2 linked regions of the Anolis sagrei genome follow. The protein of the gene in region 1 interacts with the protein of each later gene in a pairwise test. Links are inferred from orthologs where the notes say so. Each region holds a gene or a part of one and is shown in the gene's direction. Other genes may lie near its edges.

What was found.
Region 2: the proteins of BPTF (region 1) and MAZ interact in a two-hybrid assay, tested with the Homo sapiens proteins (2 studies listed by BioGRID). The link is inferred for Anolis sagrei from reciprocal best matches to the Homo sapiens genes BPTF and MAZ.

What each region holds. Positions count from the first base shown.
Region 1 is NC_090022.1:180,067,139-180,083,344, reverse strand, and holds the start of BPTF (nucleosome-remodeling factor subunit BPTF), read left to right. Parts: upstream 1-7,825; 5' UTR 7,826-8,073; coding exon 8,074-8,797; intron 8,798-16,206. UniProt on the Homo sapiens protein: Regulatory subunit of the ATP-dependent NURF-1 and NURF-5 ISWI chromatin remodeling complexes, which form ordered nucleosome arrays on chromatin and facilitate access to DNA during DNA-templated processes such as DNA replication, transcription, and repair.
Region 2 is NC_090026.1:17,340,547-17,356,717, reverse strand, and holds the start of MAZ (myc-associated zinc finger protein), read left to right. Parts: upstream 1-8,296; 5' UTR 8,297-8,575; coding exon 8,576-8,818; intron 8,819-12,674; coding exon 12,675-12,764; intron 12,765-15,906; coding exon 15,907-16,171. UniProt on the Homo sapiens protein: Transcriptional regulator, potentially with dual roles in transcription initiation and termination.

The sequences.
Region 1 (16,206 bases):
ATCTTCAAAATAACCCAATGACAGTTTATAAAAGTTTTCCACCACAGTTAAGACCAACCAACATGGCTAAAGATCTTTGAAAGTAAAAAAAAAATCACAAAAAATTATAAACAATTATTGGAGTGGAGCACTGAAAAAGATCTGATTAAAAACTGCATGATCAAATGGGCAAAGGACATAGGAAGAACAATACCGCTAGAGGACTGAGAAATAATGTGGAATAGGAGAATGAACTATACCTATGCGTACGCTCTTAAAGAGAATTGGATTAAAATGCTTTACTGATGGTATATGACTCCACATAAAATAGCGAAATTCAATAAAAATGTGAATGATAGGTGCTGGAAATGTGGGAAGTGTAGAGGGTCCTTCACCCATATGTGGTGGACCTGTGAAGTGGCTAGATCTTATTGGATGGAAATCTCAGAAATTTGCCAAAAAGTACTAAAAAAGAAAATCCTATTCAAACCTGAAAGTTTTCTTCTAGAGATGATAGATATACAGTGGAGTATCAATGAAGACAGGCTCTTTTCCTATATGATTACAGCAGTGAGAATAGTCTACGCTAAGTCGTGGAAACAAGAAACTAGGCCACAGATAGAAGAATGGATAATGGAAATTATGGATAAACTGACATATTTACTGACAGAGGCCCACAATAAACATATGAAGAAGACGGATTGGACACCCTTAAATATTTGGATGAAAGAAAATAAAGTACTTCTATTAATAGAACAGAAACAACAACAAGAATAAATCTCATTTATACAGACTCACTGCCAAGGAAATGAAGAGTAGAGAAATGTTTACTGTAAATGCTTATATGGTGAGAGACGGAAGAACACCCCCCCCCCCAAGTGTCTTCCCTACCCCTGTCTTCCCTCACCCCCTTCCTTTTTCCCGTACCCTAACGCACTCCCCTCCCTTTTCAAAGCTGTTTTTATTGTCAATGAAAAACCATGAATAAAATTATTAAAACAAAGACCAACCAGGGGAGTAGATCTTAGCTGGCCACATGTCCGGCCAATCAGAAGCCAGTGCAGTAGTCTTGAATGTTAGAAATAAATCTTTAAAATCAAAATGCTAGAAATAAATATTTTAAAAATAAATGTTCGCAATTGCAGTATGTCTATTATTTGGAGCACCGTCTCCACTGACATCCTCTTTTGCCATTGAGAATAAAGCCTCTGTTTTTGCTTCATCTCATCTGTGCCTCATCTGGCTTCCTGAAGGCTTGATACATTGGGCTCCGAACCTGTGGTCCTTACAGAAGCTGAAATCCCATAACAAAAGTATTAGCAGAATAAACCATGTGTTATATGTTGTATATGTGAGTCAAATGGTTATATGTTAGAAAAGGGAAACCTTGCCAATCAAAGTTGCCAAAGTGGAAACATTATTTCCACCACCTCCAAATGTTGTTGTTGTTCATTCGTTCAGTCGTCTCCGACTCTTCGTGACCTCATGGACCAGCCTACGCCAGAGCTCCCTGTCGGCCGTTACCACCCCCAGCTCCCTCAAGGTCAGTCCAGTCACTTCAAGGATGCCATCCATCCATCTTGCCCTTGGTCGGCCCCTCTTCCTTTTGCCTTCCACTTTCCCCAGCATCATTGTCTTCTCTAGGCTTTCCTGTCTCCTCATGATGTGGCCAAAGTACTTCAACTTTGTCTCTAGTATCTTTCCCTCCAGTGAGCAGTCGGGCTTTATTTCCTGGAGGATGGACTGGTTGGATCTTCTCGCAGTCCAAGGCACTCTCAGCACTTTCCTCCAACACCACAGCTCAAAAGCATCGATCTTCCTTCGCTCAGCCTTCCCTAAGGTCCAGCTCTCACATCCGTAGGTGACTACAGGGAATACCATGGCTTTGACTAGGCGGATCTTTGTTGCCAGTCTGATGTCTCTACTCTTTACTCTTTTATCGAGACTGGACATTGCTCTCCTCCCAAGAAGTAAGCGTCTTCTGATTAATGTCCAAATGATTAATGTTAAAAGATACCATAGTTTAAATGGTCTGCTTTCCCTATTTTCTATCGCCCAGTCATTGATCACAGCCATTTGTGTGCTTGTGTTCGGAACAGAAAGAAAAGGATATCACAAATATCATGCAGAGAGTGAGAGGAGGCAAATGCATTTTCTCCTCCGCTATTTGAATGGGAGAACCTACTTCTTTGTACTATGTATCATAGGTGACAAATTCGGGTGCTTCTCTGTTAAAAGGTAGGCCCAACTGTTTTGTTATGTATTTGTCTTTCCCTTTTGTGGTAAGAGCTGTCTGTGGAGAGCTTTTGTACTAAGAGAGCTTTTGTGACAAGCTTTTAGTATTCCTTTGGCTTTCAAAGCACAATTCTGAGGACTGAGATTGGGAGACCTCTATAGGTTGCCATGAAGTGAAATGTAATTTGCAAAAGAGATGGGTTCAAGCTAGCCTTTTGTTTTGTTATTGCACTGGATGGCTAAATTATTTAATGCCTACCAACTCTTACCATCAGAAAGTTCCTCCTGATGTTTAGGTGAAATCTCTTGTCCTGCAATTTGAATCCGTTGCTCCATTGTGTCCTAGTCTCCAGGGCAGCAGAAAACAAGCTTGCCCCTTCCTCAATGTGACGTCATGGCTATTATGTCTCTTCTCAACCTTCTCTTCTGCAGGCTAAACATACCCAGCTCTTTCAGTTGTTCCTCATAGGGCTTGGTATCCAGACCTTTGACCATTTTAGTCTGGACACCTTCCAGCTTGTCAATGTCCCTCTTAAACTGTGGTGCCCACAACTGGATGCAGTGTTATTCTAGGTGGGATCTGACCAAAGCAGAACAGAGTGGGACTATGACTTCCCTCAGTCGCAACACTGCACTCATGAGTAACATGTGGCTATATTTGCAAATGGGTCTTATAGCAATGTATAGAGAATTTGGTAGTACTATAAGCTTTTCTCTCTCTATGGAAATGATACCAGATCCCTTTGCATATGGATATTGCAGACTAAAATGACCATGCCTTTGAATTCTGTCCTGGATACATAGATACTAAAACTGGCTTCCAAAACCGAAAGTCCAATTTAGACTTGGAACATGTGCAAACCCCAAGCATGCCATGGAAACATAATTGGGATCAACCATACTGTGAACAACTGTGGGGTAGTGATTCTTTGCAAACACCCCAAATGAAGTCAATTCCTGGTTTGTGTACCTGGTTTGATTCCATCGGCGCTGCCTCCGAAAAATCCTGCAAATATCTTGGGAATACAAGCGGACAAATGTCAGCGTGGTGGAAGAAGCAAAGACCACCAGCATTGAAGCGATGGTCCTCCGCCATCAACTCCGCTGGACTGGCCATGTTGACCGGATGCCCGATCACCGTCTCCCAAAACAGTTGCTCTACTCCGAACTCAAGAACAGAAAATGGAATGTTGGAGGGCAGGAAAAGAGATTTAAAGACGGGCTCAAAGCAAACCTTAAAAACTCTGGCATAGACACTGAGAACTGGGAAGCCCTGGTCCTTGAGCGCTCGAGTTGGAGGTCAGCTGTGACCAGCAGTGCTGCAGAATTTGCACAAATGGAGGGCGAAAGAGAAAAACATGCCAAGAGGAAGGCGCGCCAAGCCAGCCCCGACCAAGACCACCTTCCACCTGGAAACCGATGCCCTCACTGCGGGAGAAGATGCAAATCAAGAACAGGGCTCCACAGTCGCCTATGGACCCACCGCCAGGACACTACACTTAGAGGACCATCACCCTCGGACTATGAGGGGTCGCCTAAGTGTACACCTTACTTCTTCAAGGTTAGAGAGCACGGAAATTTTTACTCTAAAGATCTCTCTAAACCTGATGCTAGCACTGTATGGAAGTAATGTGCCTGGATGCAGAATGGTTGCCGAATTGTTAATCTCTTCTCTGGGAGGCTGCAAAGTGATGGCCACCAGGCTGGCTTCTTTTCTAGTAGATTTTATTGTATTAACTCAATGTTTTAATTATTTATAATTACTGTTTGTTGTGTATTTTATTGTGTTTAATTGCAGGCATCGAATATGTGCCGATTGGAAGACGACCTGAGTCCCCCCTAGAGGGTTGAGAAAGGCGGGGTAAAAATACCTGAAATAAATAAATAAATAAATAAATATTATCAGTGAAGACTGTACCCTTTAGTGTACTCATTGCGGCTACTTATTAAATTTAAATCCCGACTTTCTCCCAACATAGGAATCAAGGCAGTGTACAGAACAACAACACAATACATTTTAAATCCTTAATACACAAGTTAAAACACAAATAAAGTAAATTTAATTTTTTTAAAAACACAACTGAAAAACACTAAAATGTTCAAAACACAATAAAATATAGTACTAACACACAGAGACTTCTCATTAAAAGCTCTATCTGCTGCAATATACTGAAAACTAAATGTCTTCTTAAATAAAGAATGGACATTGCCTGCCAGCAGATGGAGTCAACCTGATTTCCGATGTAGAAAGTTCCACAACTGGAGAGCAACCACTGAGAAGGCTGTGCTCTTTCATGTCCTCTATGTTATGACACAATATAAGGCAGAAATGGTTAAGATAATACATTCTTAAGTGCTTTTCATACAATCATCTGTCTATCTGTCTGTCTGTCCGTCCATCCGTCCATCCATTTTGAGGGGGAAGGGGATAGGTTGATATATTTTTAAGCTAAGGAGGCTGTTAGTAAGGTGGCTGTTCAAGTCCTGAACTGTAACGGACTAGATGAGGGCCAACAGATTGAAACTAAATCCAGACAAGACAGAGGTACTCCTGGTCAGTCAAAAGGCTGAACAGGGCATAGGGTTACAGCCTGTGCTTGACGGGGTTACACTCCCCCTGAAGGCGCAGGTTCGCAGTCTGGGAGTGATCCTGGACTCCTCGCTGAGCCTGGAGCCCCAGGTCTCGGCGGTGGTCAGGGGAGCTTTTGTACAATTAAAACTTGTGCGCCAGCTGCACCCATACCTTGGGAAGTCTGACTTGACCACGGTGGTCCATGCTCTGGTTACATCCTGTTTAGACTACTGCAACGTTCTCTACGTGGGGTTGCCTCTGAAGACTGCCCGGAAGCTCCAATTAGTCCAACGAGCAGCAGCCAGATTACTAACAGGAGTGCTGGTGTTAACCTATAAATCCCTAAACGACTCCGGCCCAGTTTACCTGTCCGAATGGATTCTCCCCTATGAACCATCAAGATTGTTAAGATCTTCTGGAGGGGCTCTGCTCTTGGTCCCACCATCCTCGCAATCACACCTGGTGGGGACGAGGGACAGGGCCTTCTCGGTGGTGGCCCCTCGGCTCTGGAACTCTCTCCCACTGGAGATCAGAACTGCCCCTTCTCTTTAGAAAACAGGTGAAAACCTGGCTCTGGAAACTGGCATTTGACGAGTGAGTTAATAACCCGTGACTACACAGACGGATGGTGATGAACTACGATTTCATTTTGAAGACTTGGCCTATGTAATTATATGATTGTATTTTAGTATTTTAATGTTTTAGTGTATTATGGGATGTGATGTTTTTAAATGATTGTCTGTGATACTATTGTTGTGAACCGGCCTGAGTCCCTCTGCAGAGGTGAAAAGTTCTAAATAAATAAATAAATAAATAATAAGCTCCCCTATTAATAAGATAGAAAATTTTAAAATATGTGTATATTGTATTGTATTGTTTAATTGAATGCTATGTTCACCTGCTTTGCATGGGCAGACCTATGCCAAACAGGGCAGGTATACTCGGCAATTGAGTTTACAGTTAGGCGATCCCTCGTTGTCCGAGGATGATGGTTCTCCAGGGTCAGTGTGCAGTATGTGGTGGATCCATAGGTGACTGTGGAGCCCTATTCTTGATCTGCATCTTCTCCCACAGTGAGGGCATTGGTTTCCAGGTGGAAGGTGGTCTCGGTCGGGGTTGGCACCTTCCTCTTGGCACTTTTCTCTCTTTTGCTCTCCATTCATGCTTCTTCAAATTCTACAGCACTGCTGGTCACAGGTGACCTCCATCTGGAGCGCGCAAGGGCCAGGGCTTCCCAGTTCTCAGTGTCTATGCCAGAGTTTTTAAGGTTGGCTTTGAGCCCATCTTTAAATCTCTTTTCCTGTCCTCCAACATTCCGTTTTCTGTTTTGAGTTCGGAATAGAGCAACTGCTTTGGGAAACAGTGGTCGGGCATCCAGATAACGTGGCCGGTCCAGCAGAGTTGATGGTAGAGGACCATTGCTTCAATGCTGGTGGTCTCTGATTCTTCCCAAGAGATTTGCAGTATTTCCCAGAGACAGCGCTGATGGAGTCATTCCAGGAGTTGCATGTGACGTCTGTAGACAGTCCACGTTTCGCAAGCATATAGCAGGGTTGGAGGGACAACAGCTTTATAAATAAGCACCTTGGTATCCTTACGGATGTCCCGGTCCTCAAACACTCTGCTTCATTTGGAAAAATGCTGCACTTGCAAAGCTCAGGCAGTGACTTTGGTGGTGCCAAGGTAGCGGAAATGGTCAACATTTTCTAATGTTACACTATTAAGCTGTATCTCTGGCATTGAGTAAGTAAGACAGACCACAGCAATGCGTGGCCGTCCCCTGCCACACATTGCTGTGGCCCAGTCTGTGTATATGTTTTGTGTGTGTATATATGTGTTTATGTGTTTGTATATATTTGTGTATATATGTGTGTGTGCATATATATATATATATATATATATATGGGTGTATACATTTGTGTATTTCTGTGTGTATGTGTGTATATATGTGTGTTTGTGCATATATATGTGTGTTTGAATGTGTGCATGTGTATATGAGTATATGTGTATATGTATATATTGTGTATTTTTGGGGTTTTTAAGTCTGTTTAGCTGGGGTTGTGTGTGCTTGTGTGTGTTTATTTAGGGGTGATGGTCACTTGTTGGACTGTTAGGTGTATTGTGTCCAAATTTTGTGTCAATTCGTCCAGTGGTTTTTTAGTTATGTTAATCCCACAAACGAACTTTACATTTTTATTTATATTGATATCCCAGTTCAAAGCGGAAAATATGGGGTTTTATTCAGCTGTGTGGAAGAGGCCTCAGATAATCCTGTACAAGGTGATATTGTGGATCATCTGCCTTGATCTCCTGGGTTCTGTGGCTGTGTGGAAGGGTGCAGAGGGCCCTTCCACACATCCATATAACCCAGAATATCAGTATCTGCTTTGAACTGGGTTATCTAAGTCCACAATGCCATATAACCCAGTTCCATGCAGATATTGTGGATGATCTGCCTTGATATCCTGGGTTCTGTGGCTGTGTGGAAGGACCATATAACCTAGAATATCAGTATCTGCTTTGAACTGGGTTATCTGAGTCCACACTGCCACATAACCCATTTCCAAGCAGATATTGTGGATGATCTGCCTTGATCTCCTGGGTTCTGTGGCTGTGTGGAAGAGCTATGTAACCTAGAATATCAGTATCTGCTTTGAACTGGGTTATCTGAGTCCACACTGCCATATAACCCAGTTCCATTGCAGATATTGTGGATGATCTGCCTTCATCTCCTGGGTTCTGTGGCTGTGTGGAAGAGCTATATAACCTAGAATATCAGTATCTGCTTTGAACTGGGTTATCTGAGTCCACACTGCCACATAACCCATTTCCAAGCAGATATTGTGGATGATCCGCCTTGATATCCTGGGTTCTGTGGCTGTGTGGAAGGGCGCTGGGAGAGGAGAGCCCTGCCGAGGCTCCTCAAGCAGTTCGAAGGCCTTCTGCTGGGCCGCCGCCGCCGCCTCGCGCAGCCCTCGCGCGCCCCCTGGCGGGCCCCCCTTGCGCGCGCAGCCCTGCCCACGTGACCCTCCCAAGGCCTGCCGCCGCTTCCCCGAGTCTGAGGCGAAGAAGAAGAAACAAGATGGCGGCCGGCGGCGGTCCGGAGCGGGGCGCCGGCGCTAGAGACTGAGCCCTTCCCCGGGCCGGGCCTCCGAGCTCCCTGCCGGGCCTCCGGGTCTCGTCCCCCAGCGCGGGGAGGAGGCGCTCCCGGAGCGCCCGCCGCCCTTCTCCAGCGGCCTCCCGAGCGGCCTCGCAGTCTCCCTCAGCCTGCCAGCCAGCGCCCAGCGATGCGGGGACGGCGAGGCAGGCCGCCTAAGCACCCGCAGCCGGCGGCTTCCAGAAGCGGGGCCTCGGCTGCCGCTGCGGCTTCCCCCACGGGGCCCACCGGGGGGCTGAGGTCGCGCCTGCGGGGCAGCAGCCGGGGCAGGTGGGCGGCCAAGGCCCAGGCGGGCAAGGCGGCCGGGCCCAGGCCGAGAGGGGCGGCGGCGGCAGCAGCATCAGCGGGGGGCTCTCCTCCCACCCGAGGGGGCGGCCGGAGGAAAGGCGGCGGAGGGAGCAGCACCCCTGGCGGGGGAGGCAGTAGTGGCCGGGGAAGGGGCAGGGCGGCCGCAGGAGGAGGAGGAGGCGGAGGCAAGAGCCGCCACAGCAGTAGTCAGGGCAGGGCCTCCTCTTCCCGGAGGAGCAGCAAAGTCGTGTACGACGACCATGAGAGCGAGGAGGAGGACGACGAGGAAGAAGAAGAGGAGAGCGCGTTATCCGAGGAGGAAGAGGAGGAGGAAGAGGGAGCCGACTCCGAGGGGAAGCCCGGCTCGGATGAAGAGGAGGCCATGGAGGGCGAGGAGGAGGACGAGGAGGTGGTGGTGGTGGAAAACGAGGAGGAGGACGGCGGCGTCGGTGCAGGAGGCATCCCTTCGGACTGCCCCGAGGAGATGGAGGAGGAGGACGACGACGATGGCAGCTACTGCACCGAAAGCAGCTTCAGGAGCCACAGCACCTACAGCAGCACCCCAGGTATAATCATAGAGTTGGAAGAGAGAGAGAGACCACATGGGCCATCTAGTCCAGCTCCATGCACAATCAAAACACCCCTGGCAGATGGCCATCCAGCCTCTATTTCAGTGTTTCCCAAACTATAGTTCCCTAGGTGTTTTGGCCTACAACTCCCAGAAATTTATTTTATTTACAGCATTTATATTCCGCCCTTCTCACCCCACAGGGATGGAGCCCCTGGTGGCGCAGTGGGTTAAACCCCTGTGCCGGCAGGACTGAAGACCAACAGGTCACAGGTTCAAATCCGGGGAGAGTTGGATGAGCTCCCTCTGCCAGCTCCAGCTCCCCAAGCGGGGACATGAGAGAAGCCTCCCAAAAGGATGATAAAAACATAAAATCATCCCGGCGTCCCCTGGGCAAGGTCCTTGCAGATGGTCAATTCTCTCACACCAGAAGCGACTTGCAGTTTCTCAAGTCGCTCCTGACACGATAACCCCCCCCCCCCCACAGGGGACTCAGAGACTCATATATAGCAAACATTCAATGCCAATTTTGGCATACGACGTATACAGACATACACATAAACAGACATATAAAGACATATACATAAATTCCAGCACCCCAGGTAGAATCATAGAGTTGGAAGAGAGAGAGAGACCACATGGGCCATCTAGTCCAGCTCCATGCACAATCAAAACACCCCCGGCAGATGGCCATCCAGCCTCTATTTCAGTGTTTCCCAACCTATAGGTCCCTAGGTGTTTTGGCCTACAACTCCCAGAAATTTATTTTATTTACAGCATTTATATTCCGCCCTTCTCACCCCGCAGGGGACTCAGGGCGGATTACAATGAACACATACATATATGGCAAGCATTCAATGCCAATTTTGACATACAAGGTATACAGACATATACATAAATTCCAGTCAGTTTGCCAGTTGTTAGGATTTCTGGGAGTTGAAGGCCAAAACATCTGGGGAGCCACAGGTTGAGAATCTGCTCTATTTAAATGCCTCCAAAGGAGGCGCCTCCACCACACTGCCAGTGGTTCTCAACCTGTGGGTCCCCAGATGTTTTGGCCTTCAACTCCCAGAAATCCTAACAGCAGGTAAACTGGATGGGATACCTGGGAGTTGTAGGCCAAAATACCCGGGGACTCACAGGTTGAGAGCAGGTTGATTTAATTCAGGGGTCCTCAAACTATTATTTATTTTGCACATTTCTACCCTGCCCTTCTCAACCCCCGAGGGGGGACTAAGACCCGGGGGCCAGATACAGCCCTCCAAGCTCATTTACCTGGCCCTCGCTCAGGGTCAACCTAAGTCTAAAATGACTTGAAAGCACAGGATAACAACAATTCCATCTCATCAGCCAAAAGCAGGCTCACACTTCCCATTGAAATACCAATAAATTTATATTTGTTAAAATTGTTCTTCATTTTAATTATTGTATTGTTTTAAAGTGTTTTGCACTACAAATAAGATATCAGTGTGCATAGGAATTAATTCATGTTTATTTATTTTTTCAAATTATGACCTGGCCCTCCATCAGTTTGAGGGACTATGACCTGGCCCTCTGTTTAAAAAGTTTGAGGACCCCTGATTTAATTGATAGTGCAATATTGTTGTTTTCTGTTGGGTTTTCGTATGTATGCGATGAGGTATTAAATTTTGCCATGAATATGTTGGAAACCACTTTGAGTCCCCCTGGGGTGAGAAAAGCAGTATACAAATGAAGTAAGTAAATAAATAAATAAACCACTGCTCAGAGGGAAGGAGTTCCTTCTGGGAGGGCTCCCTGAGGGCCATCCAGTCCAAACCCTATTCAGCCATGCGGGAGTCCAGCACAATCAAAGCATTCCCCACAGAGAGCTATCCAGTCTCTGCTTAAGTCTATTTAAATGCCTCCAAAGGAGGCGCCTCCACCACACTCTGGCAGTGGTTCTCAACCTGTGGGTCCCCCGATGTTTTGGCCTTCAACTCCCAGAAATCCTAACAGCAGGTAAACTAGCTGGGATATCTGGGAGTTGTAGGCCGAAACACCCGGGGACCCACTGGTAGAGAACAGGTTGATTTAATTGGTAGCGAAACGTTGTTATTGTTGCTTTTTCATATGTATGCAATGAGGTATTCAATTTTGCCTTGAATATGTTGGAAACCACTTTGAGTCCCCCTGGGGTGAGAAAAGCAGTATACAAATGAAGTAAGTAAGTAAATAAATAAATAAACCACTGCTCAGAGGGAAGGAGTTCCTTCTGGGAGGGCTCCCTGAGGGCCATCCAGTCCAAACCCTATTCAGCCATGCGGGAGTCCAGCACAATCAAAGCATTCCCCACAGAGAGCTATCCAGTCTCTGCTTAAGTCTATTTAAATGCCTCCAAAGGAGGCGCCTCCACCACACTCTGGCAGTGGTTCTCAACCTGTGGGTCCCCCGATGTTTTGGCCTTCAACTCCCAGAAATCCTAACAGCAGGTAAACTAGCTGGGATATCTGGGAGTTGTAGGCCGAAACACCCGGGGACCCACTGGTAGAGAACAGGTTGATTTAATTGGTAGCGAAACGTTGTTATTGTTGCTTTTTCATATGTATGCAATGAGGTATTCAATTTTGCCTTGAATATGTTGGAAACCACTTTGAGTCCCCCTGGGGTGAGAAAAGCAGTATACAAATGAAGTAAGTAAGTAAATAAATAAACCACTTATCAGGGAGTTCCTTCTGGGAGGGCTCCCTGAGGGCCATCCAGTCCAAACCCTATTCAGCCATGCGGGAGTCCTGCACAATCAAAGCATTCCCCACAGAGAACCATCCAGTGTTTGCTTAAAAGGTTACCACCTCACTTATGAGGCAGTACACCACTCCTGTGTGTTTTTATTTTTTGAGGGTAAGGAGAATATGTTATATGTATTGCATATACCAATTTAAAAGGTTTTAATGATTTTAAACTGGGTTGCTGTGAGTTTTCCGGGCTGTATGGCCATATTCGAGAAGCATTCTCTCCTGATGTTTTGCCCACATCTATGACAGGCATCCTCAGAGGTTGTGAGGTTTGTTGGAAACTAGGCAAGTGGGGTTTATAAATCTCTGCAATGTCCAGGGTGGGAGAAAACCCTTGTTTGGTTGAGGCAGATGGGAATGTTGCAATTGGTCAGTTTGATTAGCACTGAATAGCCTTGTAGTTTCAAAGCCTGGCTGCTTTCTGCCCAGGGGAATCCTTTGTTGGGAGGTGTTAACTGGCCCTCATTATTTAATGTCAGGAATTCTCCTGTCTTCTGAGTTTTGTTCTTTATTTACAGTCCTGATTTTATATATTTTTTTAACACTGGTAGCCAGATTTTGTTCATTTTCATTGTTTCCTCCTTTCTGTTGGAATTGTTCACATGCTTGTGGATTTCGGTGGCTTTTCTGTGTTGTCTCTGTGTTTTTAAACTATTTTAAAGTGGTTCTCGAGTTTCATACTATTTCACGTCTGTAGGTTTTGATGTGTATGTTGTGTTGTTTTAGTGCTGTCTGCTACTTTGAGTCTTAAGAGGAAAAATGTCCTATAAGTAGTAATAATAATGATCTCTCCAGGGTGGCCGGAGGGTCACTTTGCATGCCAGGTTGGAGGGGGTTTTAATGGGTTTGCAAAGCAGGCGGTTCTGGGGCAGATGTGCATCCTCTGCAAAAGGGTAAATATTAAGCATGGTGGAGTCTCCCTCATTACCCAAAAAGCTTGGGGCCAGAAGTGTTTGGGAATTCCTTTCTCCTAGATTTTGGAATATTTGCATTTGCCTGAAGAGATATAATGGAGATAGGACCCAAGACTGTACACAAATTTGTGTTTCTTTTACTTCATATAAATCAGTGGTTCCCAACCTTTTTTTGACCAGGGACCACTCTCCAACATTAGTATCAAAAGGGTTACGAATCAGTTTTTGGTTGATTTTAGATTCAATTTGGTTATTTGGGCCGCTGAATCAGAAAATTGCATTGGCTAGACTACATCAGCTCTAGTTTCTGATACGTATATGCTATCCAGTAGTCGTCATCTGCTAACCCACAGAAAACCATATTTAATAAGCCTCGGCACTATAAGAGAGTTTCATGAGACCAGTCACTCTCGTTGCACCGTTGTAGTAATGGTGAAGCTGTGGACCGTATTTGATTTCTTGCAGACCACTGGTGGTCCATGGACCACAGGTTGGGAACCACTGATATAGATGGAAGGTGACTTTAGGCATATTATTTTAAACATAATTTTGTTCATGAAATGATAGATGATAGATCTTAGCCATCCATGTCATCTATTTGGAGTATTTTGGCATTCTGATTAAGGGATGCTCAACCAGTGCAAAAAAGGGTCTTCTGTCACAGATGTGTCTCCAGAAACGTGGCAGAAGTTTTAGAAATTAAAACTTTAAAAACCATGGGGAGTGCTTGATGGTGGGAGGGACTGAGGAAGTCAGCAGGAAGTAAGCATTGCCTGGCAAGAAAGATGCCTGTATCACCAATTTGTAAAAACAAAAACAAAACAAAAAAGCCCAACAGCAATAAAGGAAGGAAGCATGTTCAGGATGCCTTTGACTTCGATAGAACAAAAATATTTTAGCAGATACCAGACTGTCGATATGTAGGTTTGTTAATGGAAAGATGAAAGCAGGTGCATTTAGAATGGAAATAAAATCAGTAAGTAGTAACGAGTACCAATGAGTTGAATATAATGAAACCCATCTGTATTTTTTTATTTTTTAAAGACAAAGTTATATCTTTTTACTACGATTGGATAACTTATCCAGTAATTTCAGTTTCAACCAATTTGGTTACACAAAACATTTTTATTTAGTTGCATTGCTCTTTTTAATTTTCTCTGATATTGTAAAACCTCATATTCGGCTTTTAAAAAAGTTATACTAAAACTAGTATATGCTCGACTTCGAATAGTTTGCAGAATGTGCTTTACATCGTAAATAGGTTTTTGGGAAAATGTTATTACATGACATCATGTATGTTTAACTAAAAAGTTGGCAAGAGTGAACCTTTCCAAAATTGTCTTATCTAGACATATATGCTTTAGAACACTGCTTCATAAACTGTGAGTGCTGAACCCAAATGGAATCAGTGTTAGGGTTGTGAAAAATTTGGCAGCATTAAAAGGTTTCTGAATGCCACCTAGACATATACAGAAATCTGTTAGCAACAATGTGTAGTGTTTATAGTGGACTTTGCAGAAGATGCTTCAGCTGTACTTCATAAAAAGGAAAATCAGCCTGTTTAGGAAGCCTTGCCAAATTTTGATTTGTCATCAACCAGTGTTTGATCCTATACCTATTTTATATATCTATATACCTGGGATCACATAAAAATTTCTTAGTTGAAGAAGGGTTCTGAGTGGGAAAAGCCCTACTTTAGAAAATATGTAGGAATGAGGATTGAGATTTACATACTGCACGGTAAGGTGTCAAAAAGGCAGTTCAGTGCTTAACAATTTGAGGAAAACAAGATATACTATAATGAAATTTTCCACTTTACTCAATAAATAATAGTTTTGTGAAACTTCATGAAAGTAGCTTTAGTGGGTATTATTTTGTGCGACAACCATAAAAATATTTCTGCTAGTTTTGTATATTACGATTTTGAATTTTGAAAAATACTCTAAAGGTATCGCTTCTTAAACTGTGGGCCCAGACCCCAAATGGGGTCCCCTTCACTCAATGTTGGTCCCTAGAACATTTCTAATCAATGCCTAGTGGCTGTTTTAGACATTTAAACAACTCTTTTGTGCAGTGTTTACAGTAGACTCTACAGAAAATGCTTCTGCTGTATTCCACAAAAAGAGAAGAAAAAAAGCCTATTTAGCAATCCTTGCAAATACTGACTTCTTATCAGTAAATGGTTGATTTTTATATTTGTTTAATATATCTATATGCCTGGAGTTACATAAACATTTCTCAGGCCAAAAGTAGAAACAAGTTTAAGAAGCCCTGCTCCAAAATACACTTGTTAGAATGCTTTATAAATATAAATTTCCTCTTGGATTATTTCATAGTATCAAAATTAATTTATTCTATAAAAAAGGTTAAAACTTTGTTTAGGTATTAGTGTTTTTTATTTCACCAAAGGCTTATGGGCTACCACGGCTCTTATCACCTTTCTGAGATGACTACACTGAATTTCCAAGCCACAAAATCTATTGGTTGTGATGGATAGGGTGGCAAATATTGCCAACACCTGTTGACCTGCTTCATGTATAGAGTTACACTGGTGCCTTAGAATATGTATCAGATTATATTCTTAAAATGCTGAAAGTGTTACAATATAAAACAATTCTCACTTTGAGTTGTATCTGAAAATCCAGAGTGGAGAGCCTCTGCAACCTTTTGTTTGATAAAGTTCATATCATTTGGTAAACATTTTCATAGCATTTTGGTAACATTTTCATTTTTTGGTTAAAAGTGATATGTACAGTAGGATTGTGTACCTCCCAACATGACTGCTGCTAGCATTTTATCCAAACTTATATGTTACATTTGTTAGTAGCTTGATCAAAATAACTTTCCAGTCAGAGTCAACCTAAATCTGACTGGAAAGTTCCATCCACGGTGTCATGAGCCAACACCATATCACAAAGAAATTCTAGCGCTTCAACCAAACAAACCCAGGATATGCCTTCTTCATGATTAACTTTGCACATGTTCCATCCAGTTATGCACATCAATATGACCGGAGCTAAGTTCAGAGGTCTGAGTTACACATTTTCTCAGACCCTCTTTTGAGGCTCAGGCCATTCTGCACTGCTATATAAAATCCAAATTATCTGCTTGAACTAGATTATATGATAGTATAGACTCATATAATCCAGTTCAAAGCAAATAATTTGGACACTCTGTTTTGATAATCTGGATTATATGGCAATGTGGAAGGGGTCGCAGTGAAACTCCCCTATAATTAATATCCCTTACAGATATGGGAAAAAACCTGTATACTAGTGTGATAGATTCCCCCCCCCCCCCCCCAAAAGATCCAGGCATGTAACATCATTGCCACTGTACATATCCTGAACATTTATTTGCTATACTAGATTATCTTTGGGGAACCAAACACATTTATTTTTTCTATAAGCCTCAACGACCACATTTGCATTTATCTGTTTTATATTTCATAAGACTCAAACCATGAAATGCTATGAAATAACAGTGATTAAAATTAACATAATTAAAACCTTTACTGAAAGTGCAGAAAGTTTGCCAACAGTTAGGGAGGCATCTGGGATATTTGCAAGAGGGTTATGTAAGTGGAGTCCTTTTCTTTTTTTGTTTCTTTTTTTCTCTGTCGGGTTTTTGGCTGAATTTTTGGCTGTATTGGAGTGGAGGCTCTTTGGGTAGCAACTTGGTGGACACTAGATTGTAACTAGCCCCTTTCCTGCTGTCACCCATTCACCATGTATATATAA
Region 2 (16,171 bases), on another chromosome or scaffold:
GGAGTCCTCCTCGAGGTAGAGAAAGGCGGGATATACTGTATATACTCGAGTATAAATCTAGTTTTTCAGCCCCTTTTTTAGGCTGAAAAAGCTCCCCTCGGCTTATACTCGAGTCAAGGTTATTTATTCTTTTACTCTGTTATTAGTATTATTTTATTACATTTATTATTTCACTCTATTATTATTATATTTACATTATTTTGTTCTATTATTGTATTTATTATTTTGCTCTATTATTATTATTATTATTATTATTATTACATTTATTATTTTAATCTATTTATTATTATTATTATTATTACATTCACAGTATTTTACCCTATTATTATTATTACATTTATTATTTTAATCTTTTTATTATTATTATTTTTATTATTTTTATTATTACATTCACAGTATTTTACCCTATTATTATTACATTTATAGTATGTTGTGCTATTATTACTACATTTATTATTTTACTCTATTATTGTTTTATTGCATTTTCATTATTTTACTCTATTATTTTTATTATATTTATTATTTTAATAATAAGCACATTTACATTGAAGGAGGCTAGAATAATGGTTTAATAAGAGTTGGGCAGTCATATCTTAAATTACAGTTTTATGTAAATATTCAGAAACGTTTAGCCTATTGATGCCTCAATTAATGTAATTTTATTGGTATCTATTTTTATTTTGAAATTGACCCATAGTGGATGCATTTCCCACCCTCGGCTTATACTCGAGTCAATACGTTTTCCATGTTTTTTGTGATAAAATTAGGTGCCTCGGTTTATATTCGGGTCGGCTTATACTCGAGTATATACGGTAAATAAGGTAAATAAATAAATAGATAAATACAGGAGTTGTAGTCCAGCATTTGGAGAGCTGCACAGAATTACATAGTGGGCTGGATTCAGCCAGTGGGCCTTGAGTTTGATGCACGCAGTTTGAGAGAAGACGCCATTATGGCAATGGCCTTTAACCCATTGCCTTCCAGGTGTTTTGGACTCTAAATCCCATTTCCCTTAGACAATGTGGTGTCTACTGGCTCGGGATGATGGGAACTGAAATCCAGCAAATCTGTAATGTGCCTAGCGGGGTAAGAAGCTGTAGGGCAGACACACCCTGTCCTCTTGCTCATCTCTCCTCCAACCACTAACTGGCAGGGCTTTGAGGAATCCAGAAACACCCAATGCCCACTGTAACGCAACACATTTATTGTGTTTAATCCTTCAACAAACTGAGGAAACCAGCCTGGCCTGTATCGGGAAGTTATGATACAGAAAACCCTTGAGGTCCTATTACAGGGACACACCTACTTCCAGTAACTAGAATAACCCTCCCCATGGCTATGCGTTACTAGCAGCTCATGACTCTTCTGATCACGGAAATGATAGGAAATGAGCTTACCAGACCTAAATCCTGCTGAAAATGTAAACTTCAGGCTTAACTCCTGGACAAGCCTAGAGCAACTTGAGCTGGAACAGGGAGAAAGGTGGCAAATTCAGATTTCTATGCAATGAAACCAACAGGAAGAATCAGAGTCCACATTACTCAAGGAGTCAGATGGACTGCTTTATGGCAAAGAGAAGTTCTCCACCCATTTTCTGAGCAATCATTATAGCCCTGAGATCTCATACAGTCTTTAATCAAGCAACTTTCTAACTCTAGAGAGAAATAAATTACAAGGGAAGGAAGTGAGACCTGGAAAACAGTGGGAGACTCCCATTTCTCACTTGGAAGGTGCAAGAGAAGGAAGGAAGGAAGGAAGGAAGGAAGGAAGGAAGGAAGGAAGGAAGGAAGGAAGGAAGGAGGGAAGGAAGGAAACCTTACCGTGCAAGAGAGCTTGTTTTCTCTTTCTGCTATATCCTCTTGTGGGTTAGGCAAAAATCCCCCCTCCCTAAAGATTTATTTCCTGGTAGAGGAGGAGCAAACTCTTGTGGGGAAGAGAGCCTGTTAAAGGGCAAGCAGATTATGAAATATTCTCCTTTACACATGAGTCATTGGAAAACATAGGCAAATCATAATGGCAAAGCAGGCATAAGGGAATGTACCCAACAACTGAATGGCGAGGAGGGATACTTGCAATACATTTTGAAGTGCAGCCAACCCCTTTTCATTCAGGTCTGCATGAAGATGACTTGGCCGCAAAAGATGGCATGTGTATGTGTGTATGGGGCAATGGGGTCTCTATGCTGCATGATGAAGATGTTTGTGGTTTCGACATTGGACAACTTGGGAGAACACGCTGCTTGGCCCTTAAAACTCACTGAGTGATGGGGTGTGAAACTTATGGCGATCGTTCATGTGAAAGGGATCTAGGAGGGATCACAACCTCTGAGGATGCCTGTCATAGATGCAGGTGAAACGTCAGGAGAGAATGCTTCTGGAACATGGCCATCCATCCCGGGAAACTTCCAACAACCCTGTGATTCCGACCATGGAAGCCTTCACATGGAAGATACACGGATCTAGGAGTCTGAGTAGACCACGAGCTGAACCTGAGTCAACAGTGTGATACTGCAGCTAAAAAGGACTCTAAGATCCTTTTCACTCGTCCTGCTATCGAGCCAAGTATGGTCCCCCATTCTGTATCTTTGCATTTCATTTTTTCTGCCTAAGTGGCGTATCTTGCATTTGTGCCTGTTGAACTTCATTTTGTTAGTTTTGGCCCATCTCTCTAATCTGTTAAGATCAGACACCCCTATCATGTTGCGATTTCATATGGTCTCCAGTCTTGCCACATTGTTGCTGTTGTATGTCTTTGACACATTGTATGCCTGGTTATAGGGTCACCGTAAGTTGGAAACTTACAGAATCCAATGGGATTTTTGCCTGCATAAATAGGAGTCTGGTGTCTTGATCCAGGGAAGTCCTGCTACCCCTCTATTCTGCCTTGGTCAGACCACACCTGGAATCACACTGTGTCCAATTCTGGGCACCACAATTGAAGGAAGATGTTGACAAGCTGGAATGTGTCAAGAGGAGGGCGACTAAAATGATCAAGGGTCTGGAGAACAAGCCCTATGAGGCTTAAATAGCTGGGCATGTTTAGCCTGCAGAAAAAAAGGCTGAGATGAGACATAATGAGGGCCGTGTATAAATATGTGAGGGAAAGTCATAGTGAGGAGGGAGGAGGCTTTTTTTCTGCTGCCTTGGAGACTAAGACACAGAACAATGGCTTCAAACTACAGGAAAGGCGTTTCCACCGGAACATTAGGAAGAACTGTGAGAGCTATTCAGCAGTGGAACTCTCTGTCCCGGAGTGTGGTGGAAGCTCCTCCTTTGGAAGCTTTTAAATAGGCTGGATGGCCATCTGTCAGGGATGTTTTGAATGTGATTTTCCTGCTTCTTGGCGGGGGGCTGGACCGGATGGCCCATGAGGTGTCTTCCAACGCTTATAATTCTGATTCTTGGAGGGGGAGACACAAAGGGGGCAGTTCTATAGCTACCCCCCCCCCCAATCCCAAACAGGATCAACGACGTAATCTGCTGGAGTGCCAGGACAATCAATTGGCCTTCCCCACACTAGCAAATATATGAGACAATAACAAGACTTAAAAGTTTTACTATCACTTGTTTCAAATTAGAGTCGAGGATATCCGAGATCATTTTTGCGTCGAACTAGCAATTTGAATGGCAATATTTCTTTACCGTGATCCATGTAGAAAGTACTGCGAAGGGTGAGGCAATCCCTGATCAAACACTATAAAAACTAGTGTAAGTTCTGTTTACTTTCCTGTTTTCAAAGGCACTCAAGCTCATCTAGAGACAAGGATTTGGGCAGTATAACAACAAACGCTATGGGGCAGGGCTCCTGTGCCTTTAACAGCTTGATGAAAAGAGGGAATGTGGCAGGTGTACCTTTGTGTCATTTTGCTCCCATACAGAGAATTCGGGGTAGTTCTTAAAGACACAAACAAACATAAGCTCTATCCCAAATATAATCCACTTTCTTGCATGTTAATGTACTGTAAAGAATATGTAATATATGTGGCTTGGAGTGATTCTGGCCATGAAAGTCTTCTACCACACATATTTTATCATACATGGGCAAGGACACAAAGAACTAGAGTGGAAAGACAGCTTGCAGTATTGATATGTATTTAGGGGCAGTTGATACAGTGGGCGTATTTTTATTCCATAAAGCACAGATTTCCAAATATTCATATAGAAATGCTCCCTTGGTTTATGAAAGCTACCGCCTCACCATGCTTTCCCAAAGTGCTATGCTTATAATATAATGTAATGTAATATAATATAGTGTATATACATATATTTATAATATATTTGTAATATTATTAATATTACATGATATATAAATATGTAATTATACTATCATATTATTAGTATTATATTGCATTAAAATACGAATATTATTTATTTATTTATTTATTTATTTATTTACAGCTTTTATATTCCGCCCTTCTCACCCCGCAGGGGACTCAGGGCGGATTACAGTGTACACATATATGGCAAACATTCAATGCCAATTTTGACATACAACATATACAGACATAGACAGAGGCTATTTAACTTTTTCTGGCCGCCAGGGGAGCTGTCGCCTTTATCGTCCATCTGCGACGCTGATGAAGTACTTCCGCATTCCCCACATGCTTTTTGTTGGAGTGCTTGCTGAAGTCTTTTTTAATGGTCTCATAAATTAGTTAATTTAGCCTCCCCACACTTTAAGGTGGTACCTTATTTTCCTACTTGACAAATGCAACTGTCTTTCGGGTTGCAAAGGTCGACAACAGGCTACACAATGGTTGGAAACCCACTCCAACCTGGGCTAGCTTCGAACTCATGACCTTTGGTCAGAGTGATCTTAATGCAGCTGACACTCAGCCAGCTGCGCCACAATCCCAGTGCATTATATATATATATTTCTTGTAATATTAATAATATTACAATATAATGGTATAGTACTATAAAGTAATAATAATAATAATAATAATAATAATAATAATAAACTTTATTTGTACCCCGCCAACATCTCCCCAAAAGGGACTCGGAGCGGCTTACATGGGGCCAAGCCCGAACAAAAATTACAATATAACAATACAAATTACAATCAAATAAAAAACATAATAGTAAAATATAAAACATCATAATATTTAACATAATATTTAATACTGATATTGTACTATGCTAATAACATATTGTATGTATGTATATATATGTATATATCTTGCAAGCCGCTCTAAGTACCCTTCGAGGTGAGAAGGGCGGCATACAAATGTCCTAAATACATAAAGTCGGGTCAGCACTCAAATGAAAGCAAATCATTTCACGCGCCATTGAATTGCATGAAAACGTGAGGTCATACATCAACCAGCAAGTTGCCAACCTCTACCAGTACGCATGCGCTGACTTTCTCCCGCAGTCTCCCTGCTTGGAGCACACGCATGCGTAGAACAGTCCTTTTCCTGGATTCGGGCATCTTGCCGCGGATGCGCGCTGGGGACCCATGGGTCTTGGAACGGCCGACCATTTTGGCCGCGCATGCGCTCTTAATGTTATTTACAAGAACCTGCCCGGGCGCGCGACCCGTCGGTCAAGCAGCCCTTCTGCGCACGAGCGCATTGTTTTCCGAGCACCCGCCTCCGTCTACCAGTCCTGGCTTCCTTACATGGCGCATGCGCACTTCAAAAAAACCTCCCCACCGACCATAGCACCGCGCTTTTCAACCCCGCATGCGCGTTGAAAAAATTGACTTTCAAAAATTGCGGGTTTGAATACTTTTTAATTTCACCCAGCTATTTAAAAAAAGAATCTAAAATGGGGCCTTAATTCACAGAAGGACCAACTGAAGGGTAGCGTTGGTCACGCGAGAAGGCGGCCTTTTTGTTGTCGTAGTAGTGTCTCCTCTGGCGCTAAGCCGCCCGCCATTTTCTTTGCCTTCTTGCTCAGATCGGTTACGTCATCGCTGTCGTGCGCAAACCTGAAGTGTGGTGCAGTCCTGGGTGTTTTTCCTCAGAAGACCAAAGGGCAATGTTCCCTCTAAGGCACCCTCATAGTGACAAGCAAAATGGAGTCCCTTTGGTTCACTGTTTCTCTCACTGTAGCTACAATTACCCATTGAGGAAATCTTGTTGAACCTAGTGGAACCTTTCTCCCTCTGAATAAACTGAATAAAAAACTAAATCTGAAACGAACACACTAATCCAGGCATGGGTTGGGCCCTCCAGGTGTTTTGGACTTCAACTCCCACCATTCCTGACCTCAGGCCTTAACTCCCACCATTCCATGGGCAAACTTGGACCCTCTAGGTGTTTTGGACTTCAACTCCCACCATTCCTGACCTCAGGCTTTTTCCTTTTCCCCCCTCAGCCGCTTAAGCAGCTGAGGGGGGAAAAGGAAAAGGCCTGAGGTCAGGAATGGTGGGAGTTGAAGTCCAAAACACCTGGAGGGCCCAAGTTTGCCCATGCCTACACTAACCTAAATGTTTGCCCATGCAGAGGGGAAACAATCAGGCACATCTAATCACCTCTCAACAAAAGATTGCCCCAGGCACTGCCAGGCCATCAAATGCTAATCAAGGTGGTCAGTTGAAACATTCGCACCTAGCTCCAACAGAGTTCTTTGCCCCACCCTGGTCATTCCACAGATATATAAACCCACTTTCCTAGTTCCAATAAACCTCACTACCTCTGAGGGATGCTTGCCATAGATGCAGGCGAAACGTCAGGAGAAAATGCCTCAGTCTAGAACAGGGGTCCACAAACTTTCTAAACAGAGGGCCAGGTCACAGTAGCTTAAACTGTTGGAGGGCCGGATTATAATTTGAAAAAACCACAAATGAATTCATATGTACACTGCACATATCTTATTTGTAGTTCAAAAGACACTTAAAAACAATACAATAATTAAAATGAAGAACAATGTAAACAAATATAAACTTATTAGTATTTTAATGGGAAGTGTGGTCCTGCTTTTGGCTGATGAGATAGGGTTGTTGTTATTGTTGTGTGCTTTCAAGTCGTGTCAGACTTAGATTGACCGAGCAAGGGCTGGATAAATGACCTTGGAGGGCCGTATCTGGCCTTTGGTCCTTAGTTTGAGGACCCCTGTTCTAGAGGCATTTTCTCCAAACGTTTCGCCTGCATCTATGGCAAGCTACCTCTGAGGATGCTTGCCATAGATGCAGGCGAAACGTCAGGAGAAATGCCTCTAGAACATGGCTCTATAGCCCGAAAAAACCCACAAGAACCTAGATAAATAAATGTTTTAAATAAATAAATAAATGATCTGAATAATCCGATTTAGTTGACAGAATGTTTTAAAAGCACGAAATTTGTTATTTCATGTATAGGCAAACTTGGGCCCTGCAGGTGTTTTGGTTGTTAGGAACTGTGGGATTCGAAGCCCAAAACACTTGGAGGGCCCAAGTTCGCCCATGCCTGTGTTATTGTCTGTGAACCCTGGCGGCCATTTTGTGTGAGGAGAGGCTGTCACTCAAACGAGAAAACTAACGGGGAGGGGAAAAGAGGCGACCGTTACTCGTGCGCGCGGCCGCCTCGTCCCCAGCCAATCCGATTTCGCCTCTGAAAGGCACAGAACCCTGCGGTGGCAGCGCTCGCCGCTCCGCCCAATCAGAGAGCCCTACACGGAGAGGGCCTTTGCGCGCCCCCGCGCGTGCCGGCCCCACCCAATCGCTACCTGCCGCCTTTCTCCTCCACACCCCTCCTTTATTTTTTCCCCCCTCCCTCTCAGGAAAGAAAAAAAAAACCTGTGGGAGGGGGGAGGGGGGCGCCTGAGCGGGCGCGCGCGCGCAAGGGAGAGAGAGAGAGAGGAGAAAAAAAAAGGGACCAATCAGCGCGCGCGCCGAGCTCTCCTCGCGCCGCTGCCTCCTCCTCGCTCGCTCGCTCCCCCCTCCCACCTCACTCCCCCCGCCCGCGCGGCGTCGTCGCTTGCTCCCCGCTCGCTCCCCCCTCCCTTCCCGGCCCCCCCTCCTCTTTTTTCGCCGAGACGAGCCCCCCCCTTCGTGGCCGCCGCCGCCGCCATGGACCCGAGCAACTGGAGCAGCTTCATCTTCCAGGTAACCCCCCTCCTTTTTCCTCCTCCACCTTCCCCCCCTCCCTTCGTCTAAAAAAAGGGGGGGAGAGGGAGGGAGGGAGAGAGAGAGAGAGAGCGCGGGGAAGGACAAGAGAGCTTCGAAGTTTCCCCGCTCACACCCTCCCTGCCCCGCCCCTCCCCTCGGGAATCCCAGCGGGCGGGGGGCCTCTTGCGCGCGCGGGCCAGCAGGGCGCACTCCGCACGCGCTCACTCACTCCCTCCCCCGCCCCCCTCTCTCCCTCGCCTCGCGCCTCTCCTGCTGCTGCTGCCCCAACGGTCACCTCCCCTCCGCCCAGCAATGCTGCTGCTGCCGCTGCTGCCTCCTCGCGCCTCGCGCTGCCCTGCCCCGCCCCTCCCCTCTCCTCCCTGCGCCTCGCGCCTTCTCCCCTCGCCCCCCTCCCTTGCCTTCCCCTCCGCGCGCGCCAACGGTCACCTCCCCCTCGCTCGGCCCAGCCCCTCCCTCCCCTCCCGCTCGCCTTTTCTCTCCTTCTTCTCCCTCCCAAAATGTCTCCCTCCTGAGACCCACATAGATGTACCACGAGCAGCCCGTGCCCCCCGCTTCGTCTTCTTCTTCTTCCTCCTCCTTCCCCTCGTGCCCCCTTCAACCCAAATGGCAAAGATGGCCCCTGGCATACTGCTCTCTTAACCCCCCAGAGGCGCCAGCCCCGCTCGGCCATGCTTGCCCTGCCTGGTGGCTTCCCGGCCCCCAGGGTGTGCTTGCCTTCAGGAGCAGGGGAGGAGGCCACGGCCACACTCTGCTGGGGTGTCAACAGGTGCGTGGATTTCCCCCACCTGTTTCTGTGTGCTCCTTTGAGGGAGGGGGCAAGGAAAGGGAGGAAGGAGCTCTCATGCCCTTCCTTCTTCGCTCCTGGTCCCCAAATCTAATACTAATACTAATAATTGTATTACCCATTTTACCCAACAGCCTAACTTATTTTTCCTGATCCCCAGAATTTAATACTAATGCTAATATTAATACTACTACTACTGCTAATAATAATAAATTGTATTGCCTACACACCTTACCCAACAGCCTGACTTATTTCCTGATACCCAGAATTTAATACTAATGCTACGACTACTACTAATAATAAATTGTATTTCCTACACTCCTTACCCAACAGCCTGACTTATTTCCTGATCCCCAGACTGTAATACCAATGCTAATAATACTAATACTGCTAATAATAAATTGTATTGCCTACACTAATATTGTACTATGTTAATATATTGTATGTGTGTGTGTGTGTGTGTGTATGTATGTATGTGTGTGTATATATATATATATATATATATATATATATATAGTAAGCCGCTCTGAGTCCCCTTCACAATGAGAAGGGCGGCATATAAATGACATAAATAAATAAATACACACCTTGCCCAAAAGTCTGGCTTATTTCCTGATCCCCAGAATTTAATACTAATGCTAGTAATAATATTAATACTACTACTACTAATAATAATAATAATAATAAATTGTATTGCCTACACACTTTACCCAACAGCCGGACTTATTTCCTGATCCCCAGAATTTAATACTAATGCTAATATTAATACTACTACTACTAATAATAATAATAATAAATGGTATTGCCTACATACCTTACCCAACAGCCTGACTTATTTCCTGGTCCCCAGAATTTAATACTAATGCTAATGATACTAATACTGCTAATAATAAATTGTATTGCCTACACTGATATTGTACTATGTTAATAATATAATATATTGTATGTATATATACCTTGTAAGCCGCTCTGACTCCCCTTTGGGGTGAGAAGGGCGGCATATAAATGTCATAAATAAATAAATACACACCTTTCCCAACAGCCTGACTTATTTCCTGATCTCCAGAATTTGATGCTAATGCTAATAATACTAATAATAATAGGTTTACTGTGAGTTTTCTGGGCTGTATGGCCATGTTCCAGAAGCATTCTTTCCTGACATTTTGCCACCTCTAAGTCAGGCATCCTTAGATTGTGAGGTATATTGAAAATTAAGCAAGGGAGGTTTATATATCTGGAAGGTCCAGGGTGGGAGAAAGAACTCTTGTCTGTTGGAGGCAAGTGTGCTGCCCCAAAGATCACCTCCCCTCCGCCCAGCAATTAATCACTGATTAGCATTGCAAGGCCTTGCAGCTTCAAGGCCTGGCTGATTCCTGCCTGGGGGAAGCCTTTCTTAAGAGATGTTAGCTGGCCTTGATTGTTTCATGTCTGGAATTCCTGTTTTTGAGTGTTGTTCTTTATTTACTCTCCTGATTTTAGATTTTTTAAAATACTGATGCCAGATTTTGTTCATTTTCATGGTTTCCTCCTTTTTGTTGATATTTTCCTCACGCTTGTGGATTTAAATGGCTTCTCTGTGTAGTCTGACATGGTGGTTGTTAGAGCGGTTCAGCATTTCTGTGTTCTCCAACAATATGCTGTGTCCATGTTGGTTCATCAAGTGCTAGCAATCAGGGCCAGCTAACTCCTCCCAAATAAAGATCCCTCCAGGCAGGAATCATCCAGGCCTTGAAGCTGGAAAACTTACAGCAACCCAGTGATTCCGTCCATGAAAGCCTTTGACAACATACTAAGAATAATTTTTTTTATTGCCTACTCACCTCACCCAACAGCCTGACTTATTTCCTGGCCCCCAGGGTTTACTTACCATCAGGTGCATCTACACACACAGCGTGGGGGGTCATTACCACACTGTTCCGGTGTCAGCCCACCCATTTCTGTGTGCTAACCTCTGGTTTCTTGTGGGTAAGAAAAGGCAGGAAGGACTTTCTTACCTGCCGCTCACAGCTGATGAAGATTGTGATAGAGACACGAGTTGCCTGCAATTAAAGTAGTAAATTACCTTGGGTTTACTGTGAATAAATTTGACTGCTAAAACCCTGGAGGTTTCAACCCCACTCGGCTGTACTTTCTTGCCCAAATGATACTTCCTTGTTACTTCCTGACACCCCCCCCCCCCCAAACACCAGAGTTTACTTACCCTCAGTATAGGAGGTCATTTCCACACTATATTCTGGCATCGGTGAGTGTGGTGTTCATTCCCCCACCTATTTCTGGGTATGAACCCTTAAGGAGTGGGTGGTTTCTTGTAGTCAGGAAGTGAAGGAAGCTCTTTCTCTCACTTCCTTGATCTTTCTTCCCTTGTCATCCACACCTGCTGACAGTTATGATAGAAACATTATTTGCTGCAATTAAAAAGTTGTAATTACCTTGAGTTGCACTTCTATTTTACTGTGGGTGGCCCAATTTGGTGTAGCTCTTTCAAGGGCCTCTCCCCATTGACTTTTCCCCTCATATTTGTTTGTTCTTTCACTGCCTTATGCTTTTTAACCACCCACAGCCCATGGAGCCCCTTCTCTTGACCTTCCACTTCACAGTAAGACAAAGGCCCCTTTCACACAGCTGAATAAAATCCCACATTATTGCTTTGAACTAGACTATATGACAGTGTGAAAGATAACTCAGTTCAAATCGGATATTGTGAGATTTTCTGCCTTGATATTCTGGATTATATGGCTCTGTAGAAGGGGCCCAAAATTCTCTTTAAAGTCATGATTCCTTGCTCTCTCTTCACAGTATCTCTCTAAAAAATAACCTGCTTATTGGTCTCTTGCTTAGTGCCAGCGCCGCTTCTTGCCTTGGCCCTCCTTTCTCCCGGTGCTTATCCCTCCTGCCCAGGATTTCCTCTTTGCAGTGTACTGCCTAGGCCTTTCCTTTTGCAGATAGGCCACTTGCTTCTCTAGCCACCCCTAAGTGCCCTTCTTTCCCCAGGATAAATGCACACAAGATACTGCTTTCTTGGATCCCAACTCTTCATCTATATCAAAAATCAATTCTGGTTAGTGTAGCTCTACTCCTTGGACCGGATCTCCACCTGACACAGCGCCTGCCCATATCTGCTGGAATCTCTTGTCTGCTCCCTTTTCCTCCTTCCCAGCATAATGAAATTTTCTTTATCTTAGTATTCTGTTCATTACATCCCATTTCACCCAGGGTAATTTTGTTTCCTACTATTTTCTTACAAAATAATCATTACCTCATTTATATTTTTTTTCAAATTCTAAATTATACTTATGAGAATCTACAGAAGTACTGTATGACCCCATATCCAATATCCCCAGTTTCACTCCAAAAAATATTCTCCCCCAAATGTATTTCTGGCCAACCATACTGTAGAATAGTGCTGGGGATTCAGATATGCTTATGGATCTCTCTAGGTTCTCCAGTCTTTGTTATACCACCAGCTCAAGTATAGTCAAAATGTAGGATTCACTATTATCTACAATTTCAGGAATCCACAATGGGGCTTGGGAATATCCTTCAGGGATTCAGAGTCCACACTGTAACGGAACTATAAGCCTTTGCAGTCCCCCACACACTACCAAAATTATGTTAACTTTACTTAATACACAGTATTTCCTACATTGAGCCCTTTTCTCACAGATTAAGGATGTCTGCCATAGATTCAGGTGAAACGTCAGGAGAGAATGCTTCTGGAACATGGCCATACAGCCCAAAAAACTTACAGCAACCCAGTGATTCCGGTCATGAAAGCCTTCGACAATACATTAAATTAAATTAAAAGCATTGCCTGATCTCTTTCTTTTTGTCTCTTTAGCAGAGTCATACTCAGAACCCTCTACAGGTTGGGGCCGAAATCCAGTCCAGGTTTTTTGCCGCTCAGGGCTGCGGTCAAAGCCCCTTCCAGGTGAGCTTTGAGCAACAAATGGAAAGCAGTGGACTCCTTTGAAAACAACTACCTCAATGCTGAAGACCTAATTTGTCAAAATAAATAACTTCTTCCTGTAAGGGGTTGTCTATTGTACACATTCTTTTACATTTTCTGTACCTATTAATGTTTTTTTTTTTACATTATTTCAGAGCTCTAAGATATTAGAAGTCGTGTAATTTTATTGCATTGGTGGGACCAATATAGAAATAATAACTTAAGAAAACCTATCCCATTCTATTATGTCTGTAGCAGAGTTTTGAAACACATATTCAGTGTGTACTGTTTTGTAAGAAATCTACTCTCCCAGTCCATGTAATCTAACAAGTAATTAATCTGTTTATGTCACTGTTTTGTTTTTTTAAACCAAAGAGTGTGCTCAAGACAGCTGCATGTTTCTGTATTTTTTGGTTGTACACATAAATATTAATTCATTTTTATTAATCAGCTGAGAAGTTAACAATTTAAAACTCATTTGTTACAAATTCAGATAACTTTTATCCTATGTATATTCACTTACAAGTCAGTCCAGCCACATACATTGTCAGGAAACGTGTTTCCAGTGACAGATCCAAATACTGAAGCTTCCTTCCTCTGGTGATGGTTTCTCAGTATCCAAAACCAGAGGAAATTTTAGACTGTGTTTTTAAAATGTAGAGTTGGTCAAACACAAAAGTAATGAAGACTGCACTTCTGTGCTTCTTCGTTTTCTTATAGTTCAGATTTGACAAATTTGATCCAAATATTCTGGCCAGTTTCTTATTATTGTAAGAGGGTAAATGGGGTTGTCAAATTATGATCCCTGCAGAACATGACATTCATTTTAAAATATTGTGAAAATAGCTGGTTTGTTTTTGGATTTTTGAGAAATAGAAAGATTTATGTATGAAATGTTAGATCAAAAATGGGTTATGTAACTTATTGTGATGTTTTCCCCCAAACACATTGATAAAATGTTTTGTCCATTTTACTGACAAGTGTACTGAGACTAAGTCTGCAGGCAAATGTTTACATTTCTGGGATGTCTTGTAGGGCCCATTGGAACGAACTTCCCAAATTTGTTAGCATCTGGTACTGTACACCATTTTGTCCAAGATCATGTACTAACATCTGAACTGGAGTTTTATTTTGAACTTCTCTAGTGTTCCAAATTTAACAACTACATCATTCTTGGTTTTTACTGTAAAATGATTACATGTCATGTTATTTATTGTCTCACTATATAATATATGACTTAAGATTGTCACATCAGTATAATAGTTCCTCTTTCCTGCTGTCTAAGCACTGGAATAATAAGGCTTCATCTTCTAAATTTTGCTTTACTTCAAGAGTATAGCTAATACATAAACATTTCTGAATTGTTTGAAGGATAGTATGTTTAACAGGTCTAAACATACTATCCTTCAACCCTACATTCTGTTTTCATAATTTGTTGTAAGTATTTGGGGCAAGAGTTTAGAACAAATGAATATCTAAGGCATCCTTATCCCGATTCTTTGAATTTCTTGTTTCTGTAAGTTGCCAATTATTTGTAAATCATTTCTATTCTGAAGAAATCCACAAATGTTTAGAGTTCTATTATTTCTATAACTGCAGGGTCTCTCACACCATTTATACTCTTAGGTGACAATTTTAAATTCTTGCATACAAAATCATTGGGTTGGAAGAGACCCCAGGGGCCATCCAGTCCTACCACCCATATATATTGCATGATAAGGATAGAGAACTTGTTAAAGTCATGTACAAATTTTTCCCTGATAAAGTTCACTTAATCCAGACTGGTAAATATCTGTTTGCCCACAACAGGTGAAGTGGGCAGGTGCTTCTAAATTTGAACAAGTTGACCTTAGCCTGCCTGTAAACGTCAAAATAAGTGCAAATATGTCTGATTGAATGGGTTTGTATTTTTTATGGACTGAGTTTAAGACAGTTTTTTAAAGAACCACACAGAGTTAAGTGGAATTAACAATTGTGGTTTATATCAAGAAGTAAACTAGTTAATTTGTAATGCTGGCCCTTTCTCTTTATTTATTACCAATGAAAAAAACACAACTGTTTCACACTCTTGCTTGATTAATGTATTGATAGGTTAACAAATAAACAGATTTGTTTCAGGGACACAAAACAGAACTCTGAATGAAACCTATTAGATATAAATGAATGTTTATACAACAATTCGAAAATTGGGCTAGGATTAGGGTGAAGTTTCAAGATTCAATAAAGTATGTCAGAATCTTCACTTGATAGTGCAGTGGCAACTATTCTGCCCCCTTTGGAAAAACAAACTTCTCTAACACGTTGAAACTCAGCTGTTAAAACAAATATTTAAAGGAGATGGTGAGTGTTTTTAGCCAGCCCTCCCGTGTGCACTGCATCTCCAATACATGATAATGTATCCATGTTCCAACATCCAGGCATGTCAGTAATTCTGACCTCCGTGCAGTATGATATGACATGTCACTATGGCACATACATGTTCATCTTGTGTAATCATTTCAACAGTAGCTTAAACAGCTGATATAGGGAGAAGTTCTTCTCTTATATTCCATCACTTTATTTAAATGCTGTAATGGCAATGCCATTTTGTATATAGAAAGTTTATTGGAGTTGGGAGAGCACAGGTGTGTGGAAAAGCAGGGATACTCCTTGACTATATTCATTCATTCTTTTTACCCACATCCTTTTTTGCCTTGTGACAATAAAAGGGCTTACTACTGTTATTCCATTGGTATTGCACACTAGCAGAATTTGTTCCTCATGCTCCATTGGTCTTCATTTGTAAAATATACTGGTTGTATGACCTTGTGAAATAAACCACCAGCCTTGTTTTAAGTGGCAGAGAATTTAAAATGAAGTGATGCATCAAGAGCATATACTTCACGCACAGGTAAGCTTGGTAATTTGCTAAACTTTCCAAATTCGATTTGAGTCCTATTCCATACATGCACTTCTTATTTTTTCCACCGAGAGTGGGTTCAAGATCATTTATTAAATAATTGGTGTTTTTGAAGTGGAAACATACAATTCTTTTCCCGCCACCGTGCTGCTAGAATATGACGAGAATTCAGGTTTGGTTGTTCATCGCACTGCTTCTCAGTTATGTGATTTTTTTTCTTTCCAGACTGGCACTACCACAGCTCCTCCCCAGCAGACAGCCACTCCTGCTGAGTCCCTCCAAGTGGACCTCCTGCCTGTCTTGGCTGCAGCCCAGGAGACAGCTGCTGCTGCTGCTGTAGTTGCTGCTGCCACTGGTTCTGCATCAGCTGCTTCCACGGTAGACACGGCTGCCTTGAAACAGCAGCAGCCTTCTGCTTCTGAGGGTGGGGGTGGCCAGGGAGCACCCTCTTCTCAAACCAACCAAGCCCCCACACAACAGGCTGCTCCTA